Drosophila melanogaster: one gene and its partner. The gene in region 1 interacts genetically with each later gene. Each region holds a gene or a part of one and is shown in the gene's direction. Other genes may lie near its edges.

Region 1 (7,612 bases):
GCGGCTGGACCAATTGGATCGCCATGAGTATCATCACACAGGGATTGTGAGTATAGTTAGAGTATGTTAAGTGTAAGCCAGTAGTAACGCCGCCACCACTTTGCAGAAGAAGCACGCCTGCTCGTACGAGGGTTGCGACAAGACGTACTCGATTGTGACGCACTTAAAGAGGCATCTGCGCAGCACCCACGAGCGTCCGGAGTCGGCGGCCAAGAAGACGGTGAAGTGCGCGCTGGAGGAGTGCAGCAAGATGTTCATCTCGGTTAGCAACATGACCCGCCACATGCGCGAAACCCACGAGAGCCCAAAGGTCTATCCGTGCAGCCAGTGCAGTGCCAAATTCTCGCAAAAGCTCAAGCTGAAGCGCCACGAGATCAGGGAGCACACGCTGGAGTATCCGTACAGCTGCTCGAAGTGCTCGCGCGGCTTCTACCAGCAGTGGCAGTGCCAGAGTCACGAGCCCAGCTGCAAGCTGTACGAGTGTCCCGGCTGCCCGCTGCAGTTCGACAAATGGACGTTGTATACGAAGCATTGTCGCGACTCGTTGCACGGCAAGAATCGCCATAAGTGCGACCGCTGCGATAGTGCCTTCGACAAGCCGAGCGAACTGAAGCGTCACCTCGAGGTGAAGCACAAGGAGGCGGCGCAGACGGATGAGTGCGCCACCTCCTTCACCTGCAACGAGGAGGGATGCGGCAAGAGTTACTCGTACCTCAGGAATCTACGCCAGCACATGCTCACCGCCCACTCGGGCAGGCGTTTCGAGTGCCAGGCCTTGGACTGCGGCCGCTGTTTCAGCAGTGCGCAGAATCTGGCGAGACATCTGCTCAGGGATCACAAAGATGGTGCGACGAAAAAGGAATTGAAAGCCAAGAAGAAGGACAAGAGTAAGACTGGAGAAGGGGGCAAAACTAAGTCCACATCCCGCAAGCGACGACGCGATGCTGGACGCAGCAAACATTCGAGGCTATCCAAACTGGCCTGCCTGCAATTGGACAAGGAAGATGATGAGGCGGTGCGCGAGCGACAGCCTTTGGTCCTCGAAAAGATCACCCAGTCGCTGAAGGATGACCCCGTCGAGGAGCTGCTGGCACAGACCCTGCAGGATGAAGAGGAAAAGGAGCAGGAGTAGAGCAAAAGGCCATTCAAAGGGACGGGAGTGAGAAGGTCTGGTCAAGAGGCTAACAATTGAATGACTACTTTAATTTAAACCACAACTTCTAAAAGAGAAACAACTAATTTATCAGTAAATACTTAGGATTTGCGTTCAGAAACATCCGAAATTGCATTAATTTGCATAAATTAGTAAGCTATTATTAGTAGTATTCGCCTGGAGCGAATTAGTTTATTTACTTTAAGCTTACAGTTGCAAACATTCCCTGACTTCAACTAGAGTTCCGAAACTCTCGGGCATCCAGAGAGAAAACCAATAATATCCATTGTGTATATACGCGCAAAACTAAATAAAATAAACTCCTCTAAGTAAAAATAAGAACAATATGAACCTCTGACATAGTTCTTTTGTCTGTTTCTATTTTATTAAACAATCTTCTAAAACCAAAAAAAATGCTTAATGCGCGTGGACGCGATGGCGATGGAGGACTGCAGGAGTGCGGATCGATTGCATACGAGTGCCAATTCAGGTGGCTACAGCGAGTTGATGATCTTCCGGCTTCGCATCTGCTCCATCCAGCTCTCGTACTGCTGCTCCGGCGTCTGCGGCTCCTGGTAGTAGTGCTGCGGCGGCTCGCCCTCCTCCAGGCGCACGAAGTAGTGGCAGTGCTTGTACTCCACTTTGCCGAAGCGACCGCGAGCATGCCGCCTCACGCCCTTGAAGACGCGTCCCTTGCCCACGAAGGATTCGGCTGGTAGGTAAGAACAGACAAAGATTCATCAATATAATGGTTAGTGATGAAGAAACTAATGATAATCCATCATTCATAGTGGATACATAGATTCCTTGTGCCCCTGCGGCTCACCTATCCACAGATTGCTCTTGTACTCCACGTTATGCCGCTCCACGGCTATTTGCTGGGCCTCCAGTATGGTCTCCTTCACATCGGTGGCCCCCTTTTTGAGCACAAAGTTCAGCTGCTTCAGCGCCTCGTCGACGGACATTCCGCGAACAAAGGCAGCGATGTACCACATCTTGTCCGGACTGTATTTGATGTTGCTGCGCATGTGGCAGACATACTGTGCAATGCAAGTGGATTAGAGGATTGCAGCTGGAGGGGTAACAGCAGTGCGTTCGAAATATGTATCTTACAGCATTTCTGGGCTCCTCGTCCGTTTCCTGCGGCGGATGCACGGTCTTGTTGTACTCCAGCCATTTGCGGGGTCCGTAGTTGTACTTGTTCCACTTGGCGCACAGCATTCCGGCGGAAGCGGCCGTGTGCAGGGATTTCGACTGGAGGGCAGGTGGTGAAACTGGTGATATGGCTGGTGATATTGAGCTGCTATCCGCCGATCGGAGGAGCGCTGCTCCCTGTGGCGCCTGCAGGCGCAGCTGGGACATTTGCCGGATCACCTTGTGCATCTTAGCTTGCTTGAGTTATCACAGCAAATCCAGGCAATTCAATCCGGAAGGGAAAACGCAGACTTTCCGTAAAAAAAATAATCGCGTAATCTGCCAGTGTGACCAATGGCAGCAGGTATGCCGTGGACCTAAAACGTACCGCACAAGCGGCTGATCTGCGAGCGGTATGGCAGCGTTTGATTAGGATATGTAAACATCTGGCAGCGCTATCGATATTGCTTGAAAATATATTTATTTATTAGATTTAAAAAAAAACTTGTAAAAGCAAGTTGGTACGACATAAAATTATTAACTTAAATAAGAGCATATCAGCAATTCACATTTAGAAGCCATTAAAATAATGCATTGAAACGGAAACATTTATCTCCACACAAATTAGCAATTAATACACATTTTCATAAAAATATGAAACCTAACAATTAAAGTACCCATTTGGAATTGACCATCTTTAAAGTATATTAAAATTGAAAGACATAAATATTCCTTATGCACTATGTAACTATTCTAGTTCAATATTATACACTTAAGTTGATCGTTCTCAACAGCGCGTCGCGCTCACTTTTGAATCGCCCAACGATCTGGCATCCCTGCGTGAAATTTGAAATTGTATCTGAGGAATTGCTAGCCATCTGAGTGCTGCATTCGGTGGCGTGAAGCGAAAGTTGCCTGGTGTAAAGTGCGGAGCGCTCGCGTTCGAAACGGAAATTCAACGGGCGCCAGTTTTGATTCAAATTCGCGTATGCAAATGCAATCGATGGTAATTGAACGGCGAAACATTTATATTTGCGTGTTATCTGATACATATATCCAGCCATCGAAAATGTTTACCGGAGTTTCGAGGGCTCATTGTTTGTTTTCATTAATTTGCATTGCCAGTTTGCTCTGCCTCGGTTAGCCGGCGAATTTGCTCGTATAGTCGAATTGCACTACATTCCGAGATCTCGTGATTGCGAATCTAAACCATCTGGATAAATGGGAAAACCCATTTTCACTGCAGCGTTCTCATTTTCGAGGCAGAATTAATTTGCACCAACGCACATGCGAAAATGTTGCATATCGTGCAATTAAAACTTATAGATTTCAAAGCTCATTTAGTTAAAACTTTGAAAAAAGTGTATTTACCTTTTTCGAATTTTAAAAAATATATACATTTTTTTAATTTCCGAATGGATATAAGCTTGTGTATATGAACATAAAAATCATAAATTTATATGTGATTCCATTTTCGAAATAAACGTTCTTCCATATGTACATATGGCCCAACAAAATGACACATCAAATGGTCGAAACTTTTGCTAACGGAAATTACAGACTTCCCACACGAAACTCACCTTTGAAATTTTTTTCGAGTGGGATGCTCGCTACATACATGTGTAGATAATGAAAAAATAAAACTTTTGCTATCGTTTTGGTTGTTTGAGAGCTTTGCGTTTGTTCCGAGATCGCTCTCCCGAGTCTAAAAACTAGAGACTACATTGGTTGGGTATTGAGTAGGCGATCTGGCACGAGCAGTTCACCCATGTATCTCTGGCGGTGCTAAGATGTATCTTACAGATACTGTGCGCCATTAGTCGTCGTTTAAATCTTGCTGCGTTCGCTGCCGAGGTAGAGCAAACACCAAATGTCAAATAGCAAATCAAAATATAAATAATACAAACAATACCAATTGAAAGTGAACTTTACTTATTAACAGCACAACACGCGACGCGCCAACAAATTGCTTGAAACATTTTTTTCCAGTGTTGCAGCACCAGTGAAAAGTGCACCGACCAAATAAATTCCCAAAATATACGCATATTAAACAAAATCTGACAAAAAAACACAAACACAAAAGCCAAAATCAATAAACTAATGTCGCAGCTGTGTTTGCACCTCCGACATTTTGTGCAGTGTAGAATTCGATCTGTATATGCACGTCTATATATACATGTGCATATATACCTAGATATAGGCGGACTCTGCTGGGCGTAGCACACAGCTTCCAACTTTTTAGATTTATTTTTAGACAATGATCGTTTTTTCCACTATTTTGATGTGTTTTTTTTTCGTATTCATATCTTAACCATCTGGGCAAGATTGTATGGCAATTCCAGTAGTGACTGTTGCCAAATATATTCAATTGATGTGCAAAAAAAAGAAGAGAAGTGTTCAAAAAGGGTCTCAAACCTTTTACTTCAAAACTGAAGGTTATTTCGTTAATTAGTAGTTACAAGTTCAAATGATGATCAAATAAATGGGAAACGAAGAAATATTTTTAGAAACTTTCGCCAGCTTTTGCATTTAAATGCAAATTGCACGCTTAGGAAGTTATTTATGCAAATTTAGCAACTTTCAGTTAACAATTGTGTTCGCCTGGCAACGCATTTCAATTTTTAGCCTGCAATTTGTGGGCCACGAAATTAACTGTCTTATTTATATTGACACATTCGCCAGTCATTTTGAATGCCAGCCGCATGATCAATTTGTTGAATGTTAAATGGTGTACACCATATGGCGCGTTCTACAGCGAATTTTTAGGTTGTTTTTTTTTCCTCTCTCTCGCTTAATTATAATTCATTTTCTTGTCTATGAATGGCAGCCGCCCATCAATGAACTCGAATCGCCCACACTCGGCGGAAAAACTGGGCATAAAAAGTGGAAAATGTGTCAAATGTCACCTGCACAAAACCGCCTACAACTTGTGGGATTCTTTTCCGCCACAGAAACCTACGTACACTGCAAAAAATATCCAGCTCAAATACTTACTTAAGGTCTTGATTTCTTCAAGTACTTGCAACTGAAATAATATTTTGAATCGTTCGATACCAATTGCATTTTCAACTTTTCCTTGAAAGTTATCTTCAATTTAAACTAAAGTTGTGTGGGAAGGGCTGGCTGGCTGGCTTTCAATCTGGCTAAAAGTCTAATGGCTTTTTGGCCGTTATTTTGTTATTTTGGCCAACCTGTTTGACGGCCCATTACGTCACCATCACCATCATCGCGATGCTGAGCGTAGAACGCGCCAAAATCTAAGCATGCAGCAAAAAGAAAAAAATCCAAAAGCAAACATGAAACCGTCAAAAATGTCTAAAAACAACAAATCAGATTTTAGAATTAGACAACAATATATGAACGACCCGACTGATACCCTAGCATTTTGCTGCAGTGAAAAGGAGATGATTGAAATCATTTAAACAAAAAAAAAATAAAATAAAATAAATAATAAAAAGAAGTGAGAACCTAAAGTGATTTGTTAAAAAATTAACAAGAAACCGTTTTAATGAAAACAAAAGCTACTAAATATAAAAATATAATATAAACAACCTTACATGCAAAGAAATATAATTAAAACCTAATAATATAATAATAATCGATAAAAATAAGTTCAAATTATCGGATGACATGCATTTTATTGATTTTTTGGCATTGACAGTTTAATAGTAACGAATAATTTGAAAAGAAACTGAACCGTGTAATAAAGATACTCGTAATTGGCCCGACATCCGACTTCAGACATTAGATATCCGACCAGCCCTAACCACCCCGCCCACTCCGCGATTCCCAAGGCCAACAGATCTTGATTATGATGTTAAGCGAGAGAGAGAGAGAGAGCGGGCGAGTGGGTGCGAATGAGAGAGGAAGATCGCAGACGTTGAGATAGAGATATGTGGAGATACTAAAAAACAGAGACACTCAGCATTTGCCGAGTTGAAGAATATAGTTTTTGTTTTTGGCTTTCGTGTTTTATGCTCTTTTTTTTTTTTTTTGGTTTTCGGTTTTCGTTTTTGGAATCTCAACTCATGTTGGCCAAGGTTGAGTTTATATAATAAATAAAGCCGCGCGTGTGTGTGCGTCTCTTTTGACCATATGTTATAATAATTCTCGATTCCGATCGCCAGCTGTGAAGATGCAAGCGTAAAGTGCTAAGTTCTTGGATGCAAGCCCAACGAAATCGATATACAAATTCGAGAGAAAGTAGAAATACAGCAAAAAGTAAAGTAATCAGCTCAGCGAATAAAGAAGTTAGAAAGTCGACAAAATGAGTGGAGATTCCATCCACCGAAGAAGAATGGCTCTTCACTGCCCCATAACGAGCCTGATTCTGCTCCTGATCGCCATGTCCGCCCATGGTTACAACATCGACCTGCCCAGCTACGTCCGTTTCCGGCAGTCCAGCAACTCGATGTTCGGATTCAGCATTGCGATGCACAAGGGTCGCAGTGGATTCTACGGCAATCAGAATAAGTAAGTTTAACTAATTGTTAGCCAAGCATAGATCTAGATAAATATATTTTCATATAACTAAGTTGAGAAGTTAGCGTTTCATTTCGATTCCAAGGCAACAAGCTGAATTGAAATAAAATTGTAAATAATTGGAAAATTTTCAGAATTTTCAGCCTACTTGGATTACTTATATTCATTACAACTTCCGAATAGGGTCATTTATTTTGCTTTATCTTCGAGCGACCCTCTTGACATTTCTTTTCAATAAATTATCTTCGTTGGAAGAAATGTGCTTTAAAATGAAACTCATTAAAGATAAGTAAATCATATGGGATTAAAGCACGCTTTCCAGTTAATGCAGTCTGTATAGTCGTTTTATCTGAATTGCTGAATTTCTGAATTCACGCCGCTATCGGTTACTCTTTCCATTTCACTTATTTGTACTACGATCTAAAAGATGCTGGTGTTCATCCATCATATAATATCATGTAAAAATACCAGATAAGACCAACTATGATATGAATATAACATGTGATATATAGTATACAATATATATTATTTATTAGGGTCATCTTTTTTCCTCAATTAAGTAGAGCTCTTGTTTTGATAAAGTTAAGTGTGCCCAAAAAGAAGAATTCCGCCGATATGAAAGAAAAGGGAAAAATCAGTGCATCGGAAGTACTTCGTTTTCTTGCTGGCGATAAAAGAATTCATTCAATTCACGCAAGTTTCCGGGATTTCACAGTTCAATTCCTTCTTTTTCGAAAACTTTCCAGCACGGTAGTGTCCTTTTCACATGTCAGTAAGAAGCCCCAAAACTGAATGCTGTTCATATTCATATTCATATGATTCTAGCGACTATTAACGTTATCA
Region 2 (7,566 bases), on another chromosome or scaffold:
TAGACATAGACGCACGACGACCAAGTGCCAAAAGCGAGAACCGAGCGTGAGCGACTGCCAGGAGCAGGATCCGTAACCACGGGGTCCATCCGCTAGTCAAGAGAGAGTGAGCAAGCGAGCGAGTGAGTGCCAAGCCAAGTTTGCATTTAGTTTGAGCGCCCGACCAACCGAACCAATCCGAAACGGCAAAATGGGCAACAAGAACTCGTGCTGCGCGTACTCCAGTCCGCAGTCGGACCGCAAGTCTAAGGACATGCCGCCCGTCTTCGAGGAGCGGATTATCCAGCTGGGTCATCCGCCGCACACGTCACAGCACCAGTTGGACGGCCACCATGGATCCGCGTCGGCGGTGCACCTGCATCACCATCATCACGGCCACAATCAGCAACAGAATCAGCAGGGTGGCGGCGGTGACAACTATGAGAACCAGCAGAATCTGCAGCACATCTCCGAGCGAGAGGCGCTGGAGGGCGAGGAGGATCCGTCGGTCGATCCCACTGCAGCCACCATGTTCCTGGAACGATCAAAGGTGGAGAACGGCGGCATGACGCGCAAGCGTTCGCAACAGCAGATTGCCCAGCAGGCGGGCAGCGGCGGCGGAGGAGGCGGCGGCGGTGGCGGCGGCAGTACTCCCGGTGGCAATAGTTGCGGCGGTGGTGGCGGCATGAAGAAGAGCTCCTCCTGCTCGACGATCTATCTGGACGACAGCACTGTGTCGCAGCCGAATCTTAAGAATACGGTCAAATGCGTCTCACTGGCCATTTACTATCACATCAAGAATCGGCAATCGGATCGCCGGCTGGACATCTTCGACGAGAAGCTTCATCCGCTGACCCACGACCAGGTGCCGGATAACTATGACACGCACAATCCGGAACACCGGCAGATCTACAAGTTCGTGCGCACGCTCTTTAACGCCGCCCAGCTGACGGCCGAGTGTGCGATCATCACGCTAGTCTACCTGGAGCGGCTACTCACCTACGCCGAGCTGGATGTGGGACCCTGCAACTGGAAGCGCATGGTGTTGGGTGAGTGGAGTGCTGCAAGCATCAGATATTCAGAACAAGCAGTAGATCACTAATTTGGTATAGCTTACTAATTTCTACTATTGATGTTCTGCAGGTGCCATTCTCCTCGCCTCAAAGGTGTGGGATGACCAGGCCGTTTGGAATGTAGATTACTGCCAAATACTCAAAGACATCACCGTGGAGGACATGAACGAGCTGGAGCGCCAGTTCCTCGAGCTGCTGCAGTTCAACATCAATGTACCGTCCTCGGTGTACGCCAAATACTACTTCGACCTGCGCACGCTCGCCGAGGCCAACGAGCTCAACTTCCCCACGGAGCCGCTGTCCAAGGAGCGGGCCCAGAAGCTGGAGGCCATGTCGCGTGTGATGCAGGACAAGGTCACTGCCGAGGCACTGAAGAATGGGATCAAGAAGTGGTCCTCCATGGACAACATCAGTCAGGGCGGGCCGCGACGCAGCGTGGCCATACTATCGTGATTTATATTAGCTTACTAAAACCGAACAACCAACCAACAGCAGCAATGAGATCCGTACTCTGTAGTCCGTAGTCCGATCGAACGTCATTTGAGAACCGTAGCTCTGCGCTGAATCAGATTTTGCACACAGATTCAGATACATTTCGTAGGCCACCCGGTTGCATAAGCTTTTGCGGGTGGCTTTTTAGCCAGCACACAGACTCTAAAAGGAACACCCAAATACGTGCAGAAAGAATCACAGTCTTATATACAATATATACATACACGAAGAAAAGCGTTTTAACCACACGTCTCGAATTAAGGACCACTTTTTACATATACGTACATGCGATCGATGTATGTAAGCGAAACTACCGATGCAGTCATGGATTTGGATGATGATTTTAAACAGAGACACAGAAGTACTACTACAGCAACGCGTAACCAATTGCCAAACGAAAGATCACAGAAGCAGAAAGAGATACAGAAACCTAAACCGAACAGTAGAGAATTGTTTGTACAAAACGGCTTAAATAATATTGTAATTGACTTGGCCACCTAATCCAGCTGGCATCTAAGCAATTTAATCTCAACGGTTGGCCACGGCCACCAAATTGTCATTTACTTAGCGCGTCCGCGCCCAAAAAAAGAAAAGAAAAACATTTCCCTGTACATTTGTTACGAATTTAATTTGTTTACCTTACATCCATGTTTTCTTAATAACTCAATATGATTTCGTGTGATTCTTATATAGTTTCCATTTAGCTTTATATACGATGAACGATATTCGGCTTCCCCGCGTCAGGCTTCAGGCACAAATCGATTTTCTGGGGGCGCGGCCTGCGGCAAGTTGATTTGTTTTTTTTTGGTTCTTAGCATTAGAAAAACAAACAAAATCCGAGCGAGAGTTGCAAGGAGCACAGCGCAATATTAACCCAAAAGATTTGTGAGTAAATTAATGTACTAGACATATAAGGATACGAATTATATGCAAAATGTATTTTATTTTGTAATTTATTTTACGATAAAGCTAAATAAAAGCAAATCAAAGAAATAGACTTTCTATAACTTAGTTTTTGTCACTTTTTTTTCGAAAACGTGGGTTTTGAAAACGAAAGCGCGCTTATTCGAAGTCAAAAACATGGCCATATGAAACAGAAAGTTTTTGAAACATTTTTTTTTTTTTATATAGAAAGGACTTCTGGCTATTCTATGTATAAAAACATTTTAGAAACATATCTTATTCTAAATAAGAAGATCGATCATAGGATTTCTTTCGAAAATCGTATAAAATGTATTGTATAATCCACTTATTTTCTTTCCCTCCCACAAAATATGGATTCAAAAATCTCGAACAAGATTATGTGGAAAAGTATTGATAATCACCTAAACACATTGATTTTCAACATTATAAATACTCCACTTGCAAATGCAAAAAAAAAACTCTTTAGAAATAGTCAAGATCCTACTATTTAAGTTTATACTTTCAGAAAATCTTATAATTCCAATTACACTTTATAACTTATTAAATTTACGCTGCTAATTATTTTTATTATTTATAAAATACTTTACGAAAAACTTAATTTTCAAAGCTATCGACGCAGTGCCATCCCTAATTTGGTATTTTTGTGTATTTGGTATATTTCAAAATTACATTGAAAATAAAGCAGCCCGGTCACACTGCCAGCTCTGGAGAACTATCGATGTCATATCGATACTTCTTCCAGCTCTATACACTGCTTCTCTCGCTCTTCCGCCCGCAACTAAAACTCTGGATCCGCGTTAAATGTTAAGAAAATAAAGGCACCGCTCTAATTAAATGGCCAACCGCAAGTGTACAGTGCGCGCAATGCAGTTAGTGACCAGTGGAGAGTGATGTGCAAGATCGGGCCACGAAACCAAGATCGCCATTGAGCAATCCGGGAACGGCGTCTGTTGAAAAGGGACGCTGCTGCAGGCAGAAAAAGGAGTGGTAGCTCGCTGGTCTATGGATAAAACGTAACTATATCGCTGGTGAGTGCAATTCGAATTGGCGACTCTTGCATTCGTATTCAAATTGGCCAATTGGACCCGGCCGAATTTGTGTGCTTAACCGTTTTGCCGCCTTTTTGTGCCCAAGCCCCGAAAAAGCAGCACAACAACGGGAGGGGGTTGGTGGAGGGAGCGGCGGAGACAGCGGCAGCAAATCGTTAATAAGAACAACGCAATCGCACGCACACACACACATGCGGGCTCGAGCACGCATTGTATCTGTATCTTGCGGTGTCTCTCGTAGTCGCTCTCGCTCTCTCGCTGCCTCCACACCTCTTGCCAGTGCTGGCCACTTGGATTCTCTCTAGCCAGTTTTTGTAATTGGAGTAAGTGCAGGTGCTGCTTGGCTAGTTATCTACTCTGAATGCTAAAAGTAGTTTAAGTTTTCATCTAATATAAAAATTTGTTGAAAGGGATACTTTAATCAGTAATTTATAAATGCTTTTTTGACTTTTTCCATTTGAATATAAGGTTATAAAGATTAAATTGAATTATTTTAATAAGTGTTTTAAATTTTCATGTATTCCGATCAGATAAACCGCCTTGTTATTAAAGTTATTTTTCTCACTGGCTTATGTAAATGTTAACTTTTTTTAGCATTGGATTGGGATTATTGGGCTTTTTACAGCTCTAAGCTAATCAACTCATTACCTGATATTTGTTATGCCTTTGCCATATTATTAAAAAAAACTTATATTTGATATTTGACTGTCAAATTTTCAATAAGATAATCAGATAGCCTTGTTATTATGCCACACTTAGGAAGTTCAATAAATAACTTTTAAATATAAGAGTCGAATCAATTGATCCCTCGTCAAAGCCAAACCGCCTGCACTGGCTCTCCCACTGGACTTTTGTGCTTTCGGCTGCCGCCCGAACGCGCCGCACGAAGAACTTTTACATCGGTCGCCTTTGCCTGCTCGCCTTCTGCTGCCTCCGCGTCTCATTCAGTTTTCAGTTTGCTTTGCTCTGTTCGCCGTTCACCACCGCCTCTCACCCGCGCGGCGTTTCGATTCTGATTGCCACTACTGTTGCACACACACACACACATTCGCCGGAGAGTGTGCCCGCCACCACCACCGTTGCAATATCAAGTAAATTTTCATATACTGGCGTCATAAGAACGAACCGAACAACCTTTTTAAAGCTTGTAAAAAATGCAGTGTTTTGTACGAGGGGAGAAGCTGCTAGAGGGGGTGGGTCGGATATGATGGGATGGGGAGAGGGACAAGTACCGGGGCTGATTGGAAACAATTGAGTTTATTTGTGAAATTCGCAGGCCAAAAAGAATGCGAGAATTATTAATCAAATGACTTTGCGGTCGACTTCGCTGTCAGTGTATTGGTGTGTGAGTGTTTTTGTGTGCGAGTGCGAGAGTATCTGTGTGTGCTTGTGTATGAGCTGCGCGCACATCCACAGCTACAGAGTTTCCATTAACGTCATCATCGTGTCATTCTTGCAAGTTTTAGAGCGAGAGAGGGCAGACGCAGGGTTGCATTTTTCTAAAATTTATTAACTATAGCACTTTAAGCGATCGGTGGCGCTTTCCGTATTGGCACTTTTTTCGCCGCCATATGTTAGAACCCAGCTCCCGATTCCAATTCCTTTAGCTTTTCCAATTGTGCTCAGATGTGTGCCTGTGTTTTGTTTAACAATTATGAAATGCACACTAATTGGCTGTAATGAAAATGTGACGGACGTTTCTCCAACTTGATCCTCCTTCTCCTCTCTCTCACTCTTTTTCCCATTCGATTCGCCGCTCTCTCGGTCGAAATTTGAGCGACAGCCAAACAAACTTAAAAATAAAAAGCGGCAGCAGCGGCAATAATTATAACTATAACTCGAGTTTCGGATCTCGGCATATAGAATGTGAGCCAAAAGGCAAAACTTGTATCGACGCGCCGCCTGTACTCGCTTGTCTCTCTCTCTCTCTCTCTCTCTCTGTCTCTCTTTCACGCTCGCTCGTTAGCTACTCTCTCAGCTTTCATTTTTTTCTGTCTCGCCTCCTCGCTTTATTTTGTACTTACGCTTTGCGATTCAATTCGTTTTTATTGGTTTTCCGCTTTAGGCGGCTGGGAATTGTACGTAGCGTCGTTCGTGCAAAACGTTGTTGCTGCTGGGCCAGGGGATAGGGGGTGACGTTGCCGTTGTCGTTCAATGAATAATGAGAGACAATGTAAGGCAAAGAGAGGGAGAGAGGCAGGAGCGAGAGAGAGGCGAGACGAGAATAACAAAATAAAAAAAGCAAAACCGTGTACAAAAGTGCACGAAAAGCAGTGGGTAAGAAGGGAACAAAGAGGAGGCGGCATGGCAAGAAAGACACAACTTTTTTTCCCTGCTGGCAGCCAAAAGCAAACCAGAATGGTGAGAGGGAGAGAACGAGGAGAGGCCCCCCGTCTAGAATCTAGAAGAAAAGCAGAGAAGACTGACTGGTCGAGGAGATGCACGCACATACAGCTCTTCTAGATATAGATACAATTAATTTGATTTGTTAGCACCGAAACCGCACCGCACAGCACTGCTCGTTTCGAATTGGAATAGTTGGAAATGTAAAATTTGCAATGCCCCCCCGAAGGCAATTCCAATTCCCATTCCCTTTCCAATTAGAGTTAGAATATTTTTGCTCTTCTTTCCACGCAGACGCAGCCTTAGTTTCGTTGTGTTGGTGACTTTTGCATACATATGGATGTACATATACATATATTGACTGCAAATAAATTTTCGCTTGATTTGCTTTTGCCCCCCTGTCCGTTCTTCCCACACACGTATGCAAGTATGCATGTGTTTGTGTGTGTGTGTGGAAGTGGAACCAAAACTGAAAGCAAAGGGAAAAGGGGAAGACTGTACCGCGGGCCGTTTGAATATTTCGCGTAAACATAAACACCGCAAACAAACTGTTGCTCACTGGTTATTATTGTTGCCATGTCTCCCCTCTCGTTTCTGCTTGCAGGTGGCCCTGCCCAAAGGAACATCCGCATCCGTCTAAATATACTTTCAAGTCCGCTCCTGGCGAGCCTCCCCAGTAAAATCGGCGGAATCGGGCCAAGAGAATCACATGAGGTAAGTGATTTCAATTGCTGCAGCTTTCACATCAAATTACAGGGTGACTTTGCCACTCACCACCCAAAGGGGTTATTCAACCCCATTCGATACGGATCATTCTTGTTTCTGGACCATATGGCATAGTGTTTTCGTCTAAAACAGCGCTTTCGAAATTTATAATCCCTTTCGTAACGAGTAACCTAATTCGCTGGATAGCAACTGATTAAATGCAAATCTCAAAGTTTCAAAATAAACTTTAATGGTTGTTTTCCAACTTCCTACTTTACCAGTTTTTGGATATTACCTCATCAAGATACATATGACTTTAATAACATTGCTTTATAGCATATTACTTTGGCACATTAGATTTTTAAATCTATGTCATCGGTCTATTTGTAGATCATCCCAATGATTTCAGTATAATCATAAGATTCTTGATGTATACTTCAATTCTTGTAAAGGTTAGGGGATTCGTGTTACGATGCAGATTACTTGAGCTTTAAATGTAAATAACTTGAAATATTCTTCATTGAACCATGACTCAAAGGGATACACCTTGCTGAATCAAGAGTGAATTGCGATAATGGACCAACTCTAAAAAGTTATCTTAAAGATATGCTTAGATATATGGAATTGGGGATACCCGGTAGTTGGCACAAAATTCTTTTGATCCGTTGATGAAGTGCTAAGGTTTTTGACCTGCGCTTGCGGTTTGCACTCGATTAATTCGTTCTGTGGCGGTGCTTGAGTTACAGTTACTTAATAGTGGGCGGGGGTCCAGCCCCTTTGTAGATTGGGCCATTTGTCTTGCGTTCTGTGCTTGGCTTCATCAGTACTTTTCATGCCCGAAACGAAACCCGCCCACTTTTCTTTTTTTTGTTTCTGCCCGGGCTGGGCACTTGCTCACACACATGTGTGTGCAGAAGACATACATATGTATGTACATATTTGGAGATTTGCACACACACACATCAATGAAACATTCCTACCTCACCACATTAAAAGTGGCG

What was found.
Region 2: of if (region 1) and crol, changing one enhances a phenotype caused by changing the other (phenotypic enhancement), as found in Drosophila melanogaster (one study listed by BioGRID).

The regions. Positions count from the first base shown.
Region 1 is NC_004354.4:16,778,999-16,786,610, reverse strand, and holds the start of if (inflated), read left to right. Parts: upstream 1-3,176; 5' UTR 3,177-3,293; intron 3,294-4,065; exon of another isoform or gene 4,066-4,141; intron 4,142-5,536; exon of another isoform or gene 5,537-5,747; intron 5,748-6,414; 5' UTR 6,415-6,554; coding exon 6,555-6,760; intron 6,761-7,612. Other genes in the region: CG9609 (uncharacterized protein), read left to right, coding at 1-46, 107-1,132; mRpL22 (mitochondrial ribosomal protein L22), read right to left, coding at 1,648-1,865, 1,980-2,193, 2,267-2,536. UniProt on the Drosophila melanogaster protein: Alpha-PS2/beta-PS is a receptor for Tig, wb and Ten-m. Involved in the function and/or development of the olfactory system.
Region 2 is NT_033779.5:11,805,056-11,812,621, reverse strand, and holds the start of crol (crooked legs), read left to right. Parts: upstream 1-3,183; 5' UTR 3,184-3,496; intron 3,497-3,649; exon of another isoform or gene 3,650-4,608; intron 4,609-6,464; 5' UTR 6,465-6,574; intron 6,575-7,566. Other genes in the region: CycY (cyclin Y), read left to right, coding at 191-1,028, 1,123-1,505.